Linked DNA regions of Alligator mississippiensis. The protein of the gene in region 1 binds, or shares a complex with, the protein of each later gene. Links are inferred from orthologs where the notes say so. Each region holds a gene or a part of one and is shown on either strand. Other genes may lie near its edges. The genes, in order: DIS3L and EXOSC10.

Region 1 (8,064 bases):
TCATATGGTACAACCTTGTCTCATTTTGCTTTTTGGGATTGAGGGCTTCTATACTGACATAATATTATAAAAATAACTGAAAGGGAACAAAGGTCTGATTTCATTATAACACTTAGCGTGCAGACAATAGATCATTTTCTCTGCTATTGTGGAAAAAAATTGAAAAAAAGATTTGACACAAAATCTCCTATGGATTTATGCAATGGGGCGTATTCTTTCCAGGAATTGCTCCCACAGATGTTGTTACCAGCCAATAACCCACTTGCTGCTGGCAGGCTTGCCTAGAGCCCTTTCCCCATATTAATAACATGCACATAAGCATACACATTTGGAAAAAAAACACTTTGCCAAAATGGGAAAGTTTTCAAATCTAATTCATCCTAAAGGAAGGTGTCACATGTATTCGGCTGGACTTAACCATCTAAAATGTTGGAAAAAACAGAGCAGAAATCAGAAAATGTACCCAAGCATGAATTGTTTTAATTTTATTGGCATTCCAAGTAACCTCAGCATAAGCAGCTTTTTCTTTGGGTCTCAGCTATGTTTTTCCTCTGTATCCATTTGTTCCTAATGCCATTATTAGCATTTAATCATTACACGCACAGCAGTCTAGGTGGATTATATTTATGCTATACATATCTTGACAAGTTAAGTGACTTTCATAGGTTTCCTAGGAACCAATTCAATGCAATGTGTCTTGTTAACAGTGATCCTTGTAAGTTATTTAGTCACTGAGGCCAGTCCTGCTTACAGTGACATGGCAACAACTACCGTTGAACTCGGTATTAAAACTGATGGCCGAAGAGATATAATAAAGCTAATCTTTCAGCAACAGATTGGAAGGCAAATTCTCTGAAAAGTGAAATGTCACTTCAAGGTTTATATAGGCTGTGCATGTTAAGCCATCCTTACCTAACATCCAGACCTAGATTACACTAACTTCTGAGTAGGCACAGGATGCCATTTAAAAATATCTGTATGCATGATTTATGCAGACAAGCTCTCCTAGTGCATGAAATATGTTTGCTCAGCACAGCATGTTGAGTCAGGAACAAAAACAAATGTCTGCCTTCCTCCTGAATTACCTAGAACAATTACATACAGGCACATACTGACATTGATCTATAGCACAATTTACGCTGAAGTCAGGAGGAAGGGAATCAGACATGAGAGAGGACAGCATTTGGTTTTGAGACTGTAATGTGACTCTTAATCTCTGGGGGTCCATAAGCAGTTGCTCATACATCTCTACAGCCACCAGGCTTCCCAGGGAATGCTAAGCATAACCTTGCCCAACATGTTAGGCAACAAATATGCATCTACTGAGCCTCCATCTCATTAGCTGGCCAAAAATATAAAAAAGAGGTTTGTTCCGAAATGTAGTGGATCTAGGCAAACAATTTAGAAAACACTTTTTATAGGCAGGGTGAGAAACTCAACTGAAAAATCATTATTCTTTTTGTCCTGAACCTGTTGTATCTGCTATGTTAATCACCTAGTATTGTTAATATGTTGCTGCAAAGAAATTAGTGGATTAACCCCCACCCCACACACAAAAACACTAAAAAAAGGTCAACTGAAGATAATCTATTGTGTACATCATAGCACTGTGCTATACAAAACAACATCAAACTAGAAATCACAGGAGCTGGCAGTCTTCCCACATCTAAGATTGTCAGGTATAATACGGATAATTAAATTTAATTACTGAACAAAAACTGCTGCTCCTGCAGATTCAAAAAAGTTTCAATGTTAACCACTCAGCCACGTTACAAGTATACTTAATGGATATCTATAGGATTTAACTCGTGATACAATCTTGCCAAAATTTATATTTAAAAAAAAAAAAATCCTTTTAAACAGGGTGTAGTATGTAGTGGCTTGCCACATAACACTCAGAAAGTCCTTTAACAACGTATTGTGGTCCCTATATGCACACAAGCCATTTACAGGAAAGCCTCGCAACAACCGCCTTCCCTTTCCAAGTCTCTCCTTTTCCTGTTTTTTTCTTTTTAAACCCTGCCCTCGGTTATTTGTGCGCGTTTCTGGTTTGGAAGCAGGGTTGTTGGCTGTCGCCGTGTCAGTCTAAGGACGTGGGCAGACAAGGGTCTTTGGGTAGGTGCAATATAAAGAGGTGGAAAAATGTTCTTTGCAAGCTTTCCAGCACAAAGGCCCTTCTTCAGGCCTCGGAGGCTCTGCAGGCGTTACGCGCGGCACACGACACCAGCAGAGCCTGTTTCGGAAGGGCATTTTGTTACGCACTCGCTTCTCTTGGCCCTCCGAACATTTCCTGCTGCTGCGTTTGTGTTGTTTCACAGCACCTCCCAAAACGCTTCACCTGCGACAGCGCGGCCTGTTCTGCTGGACAGGCTGGAGGCCCCTCCGAAACCGCCCGCTCTTCATTTTCACTTTTTTTTTTACTTGACTACAGAAAAATAACCGGTTTTTTTCCCCGTGGCCAAAACGCTTCGTCTATGGCAGCGGGGCCTGACCCTTTCAGACTTCCGCTGGACGGGCTGGGACCTCGCCGAAACCGCCCGCTCTTCATTTTCACCTTTTGTTGGACTACAGGAAAATAACCGTTTTTTCCGCCGTTGTTATATAACAACTTTGACGGACCACGGGGGCAGGTTTCCCTTTGGTGTCGGTGGTGGTGCTGCCGGCGGTGTTGGCGATCACGGACTGCCCACAGACGCTGCCAGCTGTGTCACGATCGCGGACCACCCGCGGACGCTGCCAGTGTCGTGATCCTGGACCACCCGCATAGGCTGCCGGCACCTTTCCCCCCCACACTCGGGGTCCACCTGCACGTGTGTGCACCCCTCCGCGTCGCCAACGCGCTTCACGCGTGCTGCCAACGCCACGGGGCGGTGGCGCGGCACCCGTCACCACAGACCACCCCGAGGCCTAACGGTGCCCCGGCCCGGCCCCGCGCGCCGCCCCCTCACCGCGGGCGCAGGCGGCCCGGCACAGGGCGCTGCGGCAGGGCACGTCGGGGCGCAGGTAGTGCTCCCGCACGACGCGCACCGCCCGGCCCGGCGGCCCCCGCAGCTGCACCACCTTCTCAGCGCGCTGCATGGCGCCGGCTCCACCCGCTGCCCGGCGTGGGGGGGGCTGACATGGCGGCCGGGGCGGGCCGGGCCAGGCCCGGGGCGGAGCTGCGGCTCCGGCGCCGGGACTCGCCGCCTCGGGACAGCGGCGCTGGTATTTTTCCTACGGAGAAACAAACAACAAAACAACCACAAAGAAGTGGAAGCGAGGGGCGAGTTGTGCCCGGCTCAAAATGGCGGCGCCGCGTCCTGTCAGCGAGGGGAGGCTGCTATTGCCCTGCGGGCCTGCGGTTGTGCATCCGCGGGTCCTTCTTTCCAACACCATCTGGACCCACTAAAAGCGTGAATGGCACCTCCTGAAGAGGGAGGATGTCGTTAGCTAGGCGTATAGACGAATTCCTGTGGAAAATAATGTCCGGCCTCAAGTACGGAGCCCTACATGAGGGACGGATGCAGACGGGATGATGGGGCAAAGACTTCTCCGCCTGCCCCACGCTTCCCGTCCCAAAGAGTCCTGCCCAGCCCGAAGCACGGCATGGAGGATGGTCCGGTTGTCCTCTGTGGATACGAGACCCGCCGTCTCGATGTCCTCAGTTTGTCTCTTGAAGAGAAAAATGAAATGCAGGCTGTCCTCGCCTGACAATGTTTTGCACTTAAATGGACGCCCGGTTTCAACTTTACGATGTTTCATCTGATGCAACAAGTTGGCTGCGTCTCCCTGGAGAACACCTGTCCACGCTTCCTGGGATGCTTTCTTTAAGAAAGCAGACGAAGAAAGCCAGAAAACCCTGCAGCCGGGACGTCTGAGAAGACTCCAGCCAGGAGTCCTTCAAAAAGTCCAGCCGAGAGCCCTTCAAAACGTCACCTCAAAGAAGTCCTTCCAAATCAATGTGATCGCTATTTACAATATAAATACATTCATGTAGCTATATTACTCATCTATAGTTGATCAAGTACAAAAATCTGGGGTATTTTTGGTGAAAACAGGGTATCGGGCCTTGGTTCAGGAACCAACCCCCCATTTATAACATTGTTTCTTATGAGAAGATTGGTTCCGAGTTGCAACATTTCGATGTTAAGACACGGTTTACAGGAACCAATTGTGTTGCAAGTCCGAGGACTGCCTGTACGGTGTACAGAAAGCAAGCCACGGAGACGTGGTGTGGGGAGACATGGTGTGGGGTGGCCCAAAAAGGAGGCCACCCCACATGGTGAAGAGAAAACTAGAGGACATACAGGCGTCGAGTTTCGTGTCAATAGCAGAAAACAGAAATGTCCTCTACGACGGCCATGAATGCCACGTGCCCCCGGAGGCTGGGGGGGCAAGGTGAGCTCGATGGCAATGTTGACGACACTTTTTCATATAGACATTCAGGCTGGAAGGGACCCCGGAGGGTCATCACGTCCAGCCCCCATAGATTTCATAGACATTCGATAGATTCATAGACATTTTTGCAGGGGGTGCACTGCCAATCTCAGGGGATGCACATGCACCCCTTACGCATCGCCAATGATGATGGCCACCCTACGGTTTGGCCGTGCCAGGCTGCCAACTGACAGCCCCCAGGCTAAGTATAACAGCTTGAATAAGGACCTGGCGCTTGGGCTGAGATTATGATTGGAAATCCTTTTTTGGGCCACCCCACTCCCTGTTTCTGTGGCTCCGGGGGACTCTTCTGGACATCTGTGGCCAGGGTCTTGCCCAGCCCAAAGCACAGTTTGTGCATGCGCCGCTGCCGACTAGCAGTGCCCCATAGCCATGAGGCTGAAGTTGGTTACTCATTAAATTCTCTCTCTTTAGGATGTGTAATTCATTAACAATAAGCTTGTATTGGGTACAGATTCGCTTTAAAAAAGGAACTGGGAATAAGGAATGGGGAATAAGCAACCAACTTCAGCCTCATCCTTTGGGGTGCCTTGAGATCCTTTCAAGCGTGCCATGGGGCACCACACTGTTGGGTGTGCAAACATGACTCGCAAGATAAACGCAGAGATTTCATGTAGGACTCCATAGTGTTAAAAGCATTCTGCCCTGCTGCGGTCTTTCCGAGCTCTTTGCAACAGAAGAATCACTCTAGTATTTTTCTGTAGAGAAAAAAAAATGAAAATGAAGGGTTGGCATTTTCCAAGGGGTGCCTTAAGTCAAAAAAAGGGTCTTAAGGAAATACGAAGGATACCAACGGGTGAGTTGTCCCCTACTCCAAATGGCAGTCATCTCCTGCTTCTGTCAGGGAGGGAAGCAGAGGAGATGGCCACTGTTTTCCTAGAAGCTATGCCCAGGGTGGCGGCTGGTTCTTGCTTTCCCATGAGAGTGAGGCCATGCCTGCAAGGAAAATGATGGCCACTCTGTTTACAGAGCGCTCTTGGGACACAAGGACTGTGAAGCGCATGGAGCCCCAGTGAAAGGGGTCAACGGAAGAAGAGGGGGAGCAGAGCTGGGGCCAGGGTGATGCGGGGAAAAGAAGAAGACAGCGAGGGTCAGAGCAGATTTTGGAACAGGATGGAAACTGCAGGGAGAGTGGAAAGGACTGGACTCCTTGGGGTATGATGAAAAAGTAGAGTAGATGGGGAAGATACTTTTTCCTACTGTGTGTTTTAAGTCTAAGGATTGAGTCATTTACACTCATGCTTTGGAGGCAAGTGGCCTTCCCCTGGAACTTAAATCACAAAGCAAACCCCCACCATCAATTACAGAGAAATAGCATGATGTTGGGAACAAGGGGGAGCAGGGGGGTTGTCTCATGGAGTGCACCGGGTTGGCAATATGGTGCAGAGAACATAAATATCAATAGAGCCGCTTTTCCTAAACTGCAGGTTGCCAACCCCCAAAGGAGCTGTGCGGGGGAAGAGGTGTCAGATAGCGTAATTGATAGAGATTTAAAGGAGGAAAATTTTCCATATTTTTACAATAAAGAGAAGCCCAGCTCCCTAATTATATGATCCCTCTCTTCCTTTCTAGAAAATGAGCACGTATTATTGTCACCCTATGGGGGCACGTGGATCGAGTGCTTCTTATCAGATGGACAGTCATACTGAAAGAAGAGCGGGGTGATACAAATGCCATGAGCTGGAATTCTTTATTTCCCAAAGTACAACTCTGCTACAAATGTTAACAACAAACCCAGCTATGCTTGCTTTCTGTACAGTGTATTTTATTAGCAGTGGAAAGTGCTAATCTCATAATCAACACTGGAGAGAAATGCAAATTAATGATGAATTGCAATTCAGAGTAGAATTTAAAAAAATGTGCATTTATTGTCCTTCAGTGTCCAAGTTTCCCTCCTGATCGAATGCAGCTCAGTTCATTCATTTTTTCATCTTCCTCTATAACTAGGGGTCTACTTGCAGTGAGACAAAGCAATTTTTGTGGCTTGATCATAGCATGAAGAGCTGATTTCACAGACATCTTCCAGTGGCTCCACCCCTCACCAGTGATTGGCAGAGAGGTAGATACTGTATAATTTAATAGCCGATTCTGTGGAAGGTAAATTATATCATAGAATTTATCATATTTTTATAAATCTAAATATTACATTTAAATACACATTTAAATATATTGTAAATATAAATTTTACATACAATATAAATTGTAACTTATATCATCATGATTTATTATATGTAGCGTTCTACAAAAAGTTTAGAATACTAATTAATGTTACCTTACTAGAAACAGCTTCACTTCACTGACTGGCGCCTTCACTTCATCTATCTCACTAGCAAATAGTAACTCAATCATGATCCATGGCTGCAGTGATTGTTGCATTGTCGTTGTATTGTGGTAAGCATTGGGACATTCTAAAACAGCGTATTACATGAATAATATGCCGGGGGGGGGTGTTAAGTTTAATTTGTGGGAAATCACGGCCAACGCAGTATTTCCTGGCGATTGTGGACAATGTCATTTTTTTCAGTTTCCACAAAAACTGCCAAACCACATATTAAGTAGATCCCTATCTATAACCTTGTTATAGTGAAAATGCTCAGGGAAAGTTACAAATATTTGGACAGTTAGATAGGAAAAAGTATGGGAATCCCAGTGATAAACCATTTGTAGACACGTATAAGATAGGTCAAAGTCAGGCACAGGGACAGAAACCATTAAGTTGGTGTTAATATACTGATGATTCTCTGGTTATTATTATTCAGCACTAATTGTTGATCCCTGAATTATTAAGAGTAATATAGTAGTTTACCTGGTTAATGAGCTATAAATTAAGCTTAACAAAATCCCTAACCTAAGAACTCTTACATATGCCTCTGCAGCAACATGCATAATGAATTCTTCAGGTCAGATCAATGTAAATGGTCACAAGGATCAAAGAAAAATCTCCAGAATCCTGTCCCTCTGCTATCTGATTTTCAGGCGAGGGATTTAACAGTAATACCTAGCTCTTAGAGCTCTTTTCTTCAGCAGATTTCAAAGTACTTTACACAGGAGGTCAGCATTATTACACATAACACATTTTGTAGATGGGGAAACCACGGCCCTGAGAGGTTAAGTGAATTACCCAAAATGAACCAGGACTAATGGTAGGGCCAGAAATAGAATCCAGGTGTTTTGGGTTCCGGTCCAGTTCTCTCTCTGCAAGAGGACAGTTCTAATACCATCACTCTTTGGGGCCTCTTACACTACATGTAAAGAACTGTTAATCCTTTTTCATGACCTCATACACATCACAGTCTCAGCTGTGCTTACAGTCCAGTGCAGGACATCCTGTGGCTGTCCTTATAGGGAGAGAAGCTAGGGATGCCGTGAGATACAAGGAAGGCATCTCAGTGCTTCCCTGTGGTTTATAGGAGAAAAATATTACAAAATTAAGTAATTTCATAAACATAGATTGGGCTACCTTCCTGGATACACCCACCAGGGAGGTATTTGCCCCAGCCCTAGAATCCTTAGTTCTTCCCTGAAGCAATGTTTTCACAGTAACTGTACAAAACTACAGTCCAGCTTCAGCAACTGAAATCTTACATCCTGCTCCTTGGAATTTCTCCAGAACTTCTCTTCATCCTT
Region 2 (7,150 bases), on another chromosome or scaffold:
AAATGTTGGACAGTGTGGAGCTGGGTGAAACAGCCCACAAGAAAACAGGGACCACAGTGCCTGAATCTATCCACTCCTTTAGTAAGTTCTTTTGTTCTGAAATCATCGACTTCACTGTACCGCAGGCATGAGCTAACCAGCATGGAGCAGGAATGGTTCTCTGTCAGCATGAATAAAAAATGTAACAAGCTTTGGGTTTTTATTCAATTCAGCAGAAACATTATCCTTGTTTTCTGGCTTATGTCAGCTATTAAGAAGAAAGGGGAGAGTAACTTTTTGGTCATTATTGTGGAAATTGAGTCTAAACCTTTTTTTTGCTTCTGTCTTCTAGTAGGGGATGGTTTAGTGAAACCCGAGGCTCTAAATAAGAAGGCCATTCAGATCATTAACAGGGTTCGAGATAAACTCACAGGTAGGTATATGCTTTATTTTAAAAATCATTTAAAAATACGAACAGGAGATGGATGTGTGCCTGCCCAGTACCACTTTTAGTATTTCTGTTTTGTGTTAGTCTTAATTTCATTTCAAATTATCCAGTTTCTTAATTGGACAGAGCTACACTTCTGCTTTGCCTCCTCGGCAGCCCTGTGCATCTGGACCAGCCTGAAAAAAGTTGATCTTTTTTGGAGAATTTAAAGAGAATTGTAACTAAACTAGATGAGATTAGACACTTTTGGGTGGTGACTCTGAAAATAACTCTCAGCAGTGGGTTCTTCTCTAGTAGTTGTGCAGCTTGCAAAATTGAGATTCTTTATTTAAGACGCACCCAACCGAGTGGGAGAAGGCTTCCTTCTTCTAGGGATTTTTGCTGAGCCACCTGGTAAACAGTTACTTTTGCCTGCTATTAGGAGGAAAATGGGTAGAGTGGAAGCAGCTGCTGCATTGTGGAAAACACTGGTGTCCCCAGAGATTTTACTGTGGCTTTTGAGTTTTCTGCATCTTTAAACAGTTCTGCACCATAAATATTATCAGAGGAGGAGAGAAAATTCACCTTCACATTGCTGCCCTACCTACCACCCAAAAGTCAAGCGAGGTAATTTGCCATGCAGTCTCTCTCTTATGTGTTTCCCTTTAATTTTAAAGGTCGAGACTTCTCTCATGATGAAACTCTGGATGTAGCCACACAAGTAGAGCTGCTCATTAAACAAGCTACTTCCCATGAGAATCTCTGCCAGTGCTACATTGGATGGTGAGTTTGTTGTTATGCCAGCCTGGCAAAAAAAAAATCCCCTCTCAGTTCTCCAGAACAAATGCTTGTTGTGGGGATGTTGAATGGGGATTAAGGAAGTTAAATATCGTTAGTCTTATTGGCCATTGTGTGAAGATGGCCAAGTAGATATTGTGCCTAGTTTAGCAAACTTTTTTGTGACTGTTTTGCAAGGATACCTTAAGCCCTGTCCTATAAGAAAGCAATCTGTTAGAGATGGAAGAGCGATTAAGGACATTTAAGTCGCAATCAGATTGAAGGTTTTAGACTTGTGAAATTAGATGTTCCGATCCTGCAGATACCAGTTGCTGAGTATGGTTGGAAAATTGTGCACTTTGTAGTCAATATGGAACCTGTATGCCTCCATCCTCTTAGTTGTTCCTTCACTTTTGGTTGTGTTCAAGGATGTTAGACCTTTAGTCTGATAATGGGGAATGAGCATTAGGATCATACTGGGTTTTTCCTTGATTACAGAAAGGTTTCTGGACAGTATAATCAGTGCTTCTCAACATTTGTCTTTGCTTTTATGAAGCTGTAGGGAAGACCACCCTTCTTAAATCACTTCTGTTGTCTCCTTTAGGTGTCCTTTCTGGTAACAGAAGATTCTAAAGTATCCACAGCCTTTATTGGAGGCTTTTGCACTCCAAATGTATTCTTCTACAAGCTGAAAAGCTTGGACTGAAATCCAGCTTTTATCAAATATTTTGAAATGTAAATGAAAAGAGTTATTGTATATTAAAAGTTGGTTTAAACCAATTTATAGCTGCTGTTAAAGAACATGAATTGTCCAAAACAGAAGACTTGATTTGGGTTTCCAGAACGGTGAAGACTCAACTAGACCATAAATATATGGTTTGTTTGGTCTTTGGGAATTGGGGATCCATTGAAAATAATGAAATACGGGTTTGAACTTAACTTACAGTGTAACTAACCTAAAATAATTTGCAAATGAATTATTGCCCTGGTCAATCTTTTGGCTGCAGCTGCAGTGAACTCGTACTCATGCACGAGGGCTTGTTAGGGTTTGGGAACAAGTTGGGGTGCCGGAGAGCAAGAGACAGAATTTTCTCTGTACCTTGCATTATCTCGTGTGTTCTGAAACTGCTCCCACCCAGAAATCAATGAGGGATAAAGTTTGGCTGAGACTTCAGTGGTAACTCAACAAGCATATTTCATTCTAGATTGAGTAATAGGGGTAGATCCAGTCATAGTGTCTTAAGAAGGGTTGACCTGTGGCAAAAGGAAAGCAGGGTAGAATCAAAAGACCACTTGGGAGTTTCCCACACTAGCAGACAATAGAACAGTATTGGGAAGTAATTAAGAAAAACTGACTGCTTGGCATAAAAAGCAGTAAGGGAGAAGAACTGATCATGCTTGGAAATGGAGAAAAATGTAAGGGTGAAAAAAAGTAACAATTTATGAATAAAACAAATATTAAAATGCACAAGATACAAAGTGTAGCCATGTTTAGATGCCATGTTGTATTTGAATATTTTTGTGCCAATAAATTACACTCAAAATCTACAAAAACAGTTTTGACGGAGTTTTTATTTATACCAAAGGATTACTTAGGAAGTATAAAGGTGAGGCAAGAAAGCATCGTACTAGAATACCCTGGAGGGCATAAACTGTTCATAGAGGATTAGGTGCGTCTAAAATGTGTCTTGTGTATTTGATTCTTGTATGCTTGTCCTCATAATTAGCAATTACCTTGCTCTGAATAGTAGTGGAGACAAAATAGTCAAGACTCAGGGACATCAGTCATGTGCATCAAAGCTTACCTGTTTAGAAATCTTCTGGTTTATATCCAGCTGATTGTAATTATTTCCCTGACTGGACTGTGTTTAAGTAGACTTTCATTAGTTGTGATTTTTAGGTCCTCTTCTCTAAACACAAATTATCGTCTCTGCAGGACACAGCTAGAACTCTCATGTGATCTTTGTGTTGAATGTGGTTGCAAAGGAACGAAAGGTGTAGGTGTTGGACTCTGTAGCAATTTCTTCTTTACTGACACAAAATCAAAGTGATATAGTTTGGTGAGGATCACCTTGTCTGACCCCCTTGCAAATAACACAGGCTCTTGAAATTTATGGGGGTACTCCATTTGATGTCAGTTTAAAATAATTCCAGCGTGACAGCTTGATAACACAAATGGCAAGTTCCTGGTCGTTTAGATTCATTTTTCTCTCTGCCGTTGCCGCTTTGGAATAATCCTAACATGAGAAACTGGGCCAGGAGTGACATTGCTTAAGATTTGAATGGTTGTCTCCACCTGCTGGCAAAATGAAGCTGGTGACTCAAGTCTTTGAACAAGCATAGAGCCCGCACGGTGCAACGTGAGCTTGGAAGATGAGTGACCTTGGATGTCTCAAAAGATGCTGTCATCTAACTACATTCATCCTGCAGTCAAATTTTTGGGGGGAAAGTGATATCTTTTATTAGACCAACTAAACAGAAAACGTGTGCTTTGCAAGCTTTTGGGCACAAACATCCTTCAGGCATAGGGGGAGTCTGGTGTCTCCTGGCTGGAATAGAAACCAATATGTAAAATGCAGGTCTGTGAAAATGCAAACGCCAGGCAGCAAGGCTCAGAGGCCACGAGAGTGAGGCAGGTAGGAGTGGAAGGGGAAGATGCTGACCTGGTGATAAGCTGTAGCTGGTAAAATGCAGAGAGGTTACCTGGGCTTATAGGATGGCAGGCAGGTTGTAATGTGCCATAAATCCAGTGTCTATGTTTAGTCCATGATTTTTTATATCCAGTAATTGATGAAGTTCATTGGCTCATCTAGGAAAGGTGTTTTGTAACTCCCCTTTGAGGATTGTAAGTGAGATTGGAGAGCGATTGTCCTGGGAGAAGCCTGCACCTAGTTCTCAGCACCACGTTCATCCTGGGCTTTCTGAGACCCCGGGAACAACGGGCTGGAGCACTGCAGGGAGCAGGCAGCCCTGAAGGCGCTCCTAGGCCGGACTAGGAGAGCTGTGCCGAGCAGGCCTGCGCTGGGCGGCGCAGGAGGCTGCGCCCTGGAGCGCGGGAACTACGAGCGGGAGGCGTGGTCTGAGCTCGCCCCGCCCATTGTGCGTCTAGCCCTAGCAAGCCCGGAGGAACCAAGAGCAGCGACTTCCTCTCCCAAGATGCGCATGCGCCAGCCAGGATGGCGGCTCCGGTCTCGCGAGAGCACTCTACCACCGCGCGACTCTACGTCCAAGATGGCCGCTACCGCTGGGGGTGGAGGCGGCGGCAGCGCAGCGAAAAAGAGCAAGATGACGACCAAGAGCAGCGGCGGCGCAGCCGGGGAGGCCGCGGAGCCGCCGGAAGGCGGCGGGGATGCGGTGCTGCCTGGTTTCCGGGACGCCGACTCCTTCGCCAAGGTACGTGAGCGAGCAGCCCCGAGCCCCCCCTCTCCCAGGATGCAGCGCATGGGGCCCCGGGCGCGGGGTATGCTGGGAGGCGTAGTCCCTTCCTGCGTCTCCCGTCACTTAAGCTTCCTGGAGAGGCACGTCGACGCTCCACTTCCCAGCATGCCGTGTGCCTCCTGTACGGCGGCCGGCGGGGCCCGCGCGCAGCGGTGCATGTTGGGTGGTGTAGTTTTTTCCGGGGCCGCGTGGCGGAGCAACACAGACCCCCCCACGCGGGCAGCACCGGCTTCGCTCCTGCTGGAGACTGAGACAGCCTGGCCCTGATGTGTCTGTTACAACCTCCCTTCCCATCTCGAGCGCCCCGGGGTCCTTGCCAGGTGGTCGGGGGGCCCAGGCAGTGGTTATGGGGTGCACATGGGGCCGTGCGTACAACACAACGCGCACTCCTCATAGACGCACGGAGGAGCAGGGACTTTTGGGGGTCATTGAGTCACACCCCCTGCCTGAGGGAGGTTCATCCCTGTGCAAACCATGCCATACAAACCGTCATCTAACGCTATAAGACTGCCGCCAGCCCCGACGTGACAGACCTAGCTCTAACCTGCCGCAGGTGATGCCAGGGAAGCACAGCCGCCAACATGCTGCTTCTGTCAAATGTTGTCGGTATAGACCTTTTTCTCCAGGGAAAAAGAAACTAGAAGCTTTATCCATGTGACGGGGACAGATTATTCAGTTTAAGCCTGAACTGAAATAAAACATAACTTCATGGAAATGAATTCAAGGCAGTCTGCAGGGCTGTGAACTGGAGCTTCGTTACCAGGGACAGCTGAGAGAGAGCAGCGTGGATTGGTGGGACTTCAAGACCGTTAAGGGTTGTTAACATTCGGGGAAGGAAAAGTTGAGAAGGTAGATGATGAGAACAAGCCATGAAATCAAGCGACTCCCTCAGCTCTGCCTCGGTAGAAATGCTGCTGTAGGTGGTTGGTTTTAAACTTTGGGTGGAGCAGGAATCAAAGGAGGGTGCAGCTACCCAGTACATCCCACCCGCCCTAATCAACCCCATGGCCTGTAAACACGATTCACAAGCTAAACCCAAAGATTTCAAATAGGAATCTAGTGGTTAAAAGTAATTTGACTTATTCTGGTCTTTCCGAGTTCTCTGCAGCAGAAGAATCGGTCTGTTATTTTTCTGCGATCAGAAAACGAGTGAAAACAAAGAGCTGGCATTGTCCAAGGGGTTTCTCCAGTATATCGAGGGATACCTCAAGTCCAATAAGGTCGAGAAGCCCTGCATTAAAAGAAGAAAATGATTGTGTTGACTTCATAAGCTCTTTTTTGATCTTTTATTTCTTGCCAGTTTAATTCCAAACTTGACTTTTGGCTCCACCATGCTCTCCCCTAGTTTTAGGTTTCTTTTTTGATTACACGAAACCAGGGTGTCACAAGTTTCTGTATTGAAAGTCCTGCTTCAGCTTCAAGTTGTAATGCAGTGCAAAGTATAGGAGCACTGAGTGCTCATCTGACGGTGTCCTGGAAGAAAGGAAGGACAATGTGGGATGATGTTAATGTTGTGTCTCTAACAGTATGCCCTCGGCACAGTGGTGGCTGCTACCAAGGCATCTAATGGGCTCCCTCAGCCGGGAGACGAGTACGACTTCTACCGAAGCTTTCCTGGGTTCCGAGCCTACTGTGAAACGCAAGGAGACAGGCTGCTTCACTGGTGAGGGGTTTTACTTGTGCCAGCGCTGAGATCTGTTGGTTCAAATCCAGATGCAAAGACAGAGAATCTTTTTCTTTGGGAGTTCCAGAATAATTTGAGAGAGGATTTTATTGCAAGTATTTTAACTGCTTTCTTAAAAAAATATTTAAGCTGTTTTTCCAGCATATTACAATTTAATGGCAACATCACCATTTCCCTGTGAGGATTTGGATGAGGAACTGTCAGAGAGGGTAGAAACAAAAATATAAACAGATGGCTTGCTTTGAATTCCTCAGACTCAGTGAAAATTAATTGCAGTTAATAGCCAAGCAATGCTTGGAGTAAACATTCATTTTATGTTCGGGTTTCAGGTGTCTGAAGGTAGTATATCTGATATTGCAAACTGCAGAGAAGCCAATGCTTGGGAGGAATCTTAGTAAATGTTCTGGTTTTATATAACTGCTGCTAATGTGATCTAGCAAGTAGCGTTCAGTGCACTGGTCTCTTGTCAGCATGAGCAGAGTGATGCAGTACCACGGCTGTCGCAGTCACATCAAGGATCGCAGCAAAGTGACAGAGCTGGAAGACAAATTTGATTTGTTGGTCGACTCCAACGATGCAATTCTTGAACGAGTGGTGAGTAAACCTGCCTTGTCGCTTTGTCTGGTCCCTGTTCAGCAGTCAAAGGGGAGGCTTTCTACAAGAATTTTAGTCACAGTCTTGCTCTGATATCTGAATCCTGTTTCATTTTTACAGTGTCACTAGCTGTTTGCCCTGGCATTATTCCTTCACCATCTTTAGTTAAAAAACATTCCAGCCCAACAGAGGACTGTTTTACTCAGATGTCTGTTTCTATCATTCAGATCATGGCTACAGGATGGAACTTA

What was found.
Region 2: DIS3L (region 1) and EXOSC10 share a complex: the UniProt entries of both Homo sapiens proteins name them as parts of the RNA exosome complex. The link is inferred for Alligator mississippiensis from reciprocal best matches to the Homo sapiens genes DIS3L and EXOSC10.

Annotation. Positions count from the first base shown.
Region 1 is NC_081834.1:5,034,214-5,042,277, forward strand, and holds the start of DIS3L (DIS3-like exonuclease 1), read right to left. Parts: upstream 3,150-8,064; 5' UTR 3,079-3,149; coding exon 2,949-3,078; intron 1-2,948. UniProt on the Homo sapiens protein: Catalytic component of the RNA exosome complex which has 3'->5' exoribonuclease activity and participates in a multitude of cellular RNA processing and degradation events.
Region 2 is NC_081836.1:11,947,989-11,955,138, reverse strand, and holds the start of EXOSC10 (exosome component 10), read left to right. Parts: upstream 1-4,118; 5' UTR 4,119-4,339; coding exon 4,340-4,576; intron 4,577-6,147; coding exon 6,148-6,284; intron 6,285-6,775; coding exon 6,776-6,899; intron 6,900-7,150. Other genes in the region: serine/threonine-protein kinase mTOR, read left to right, coding at 1-81, 332-412, 1,084-1,189, 1,788-1,803. UniProt on the Homo sapiens protein: Catalytic component of the RNA exosome complex which has 3'->5' exoribonuclease activity and participates in a multitude of cellular RNA processing and degradation events.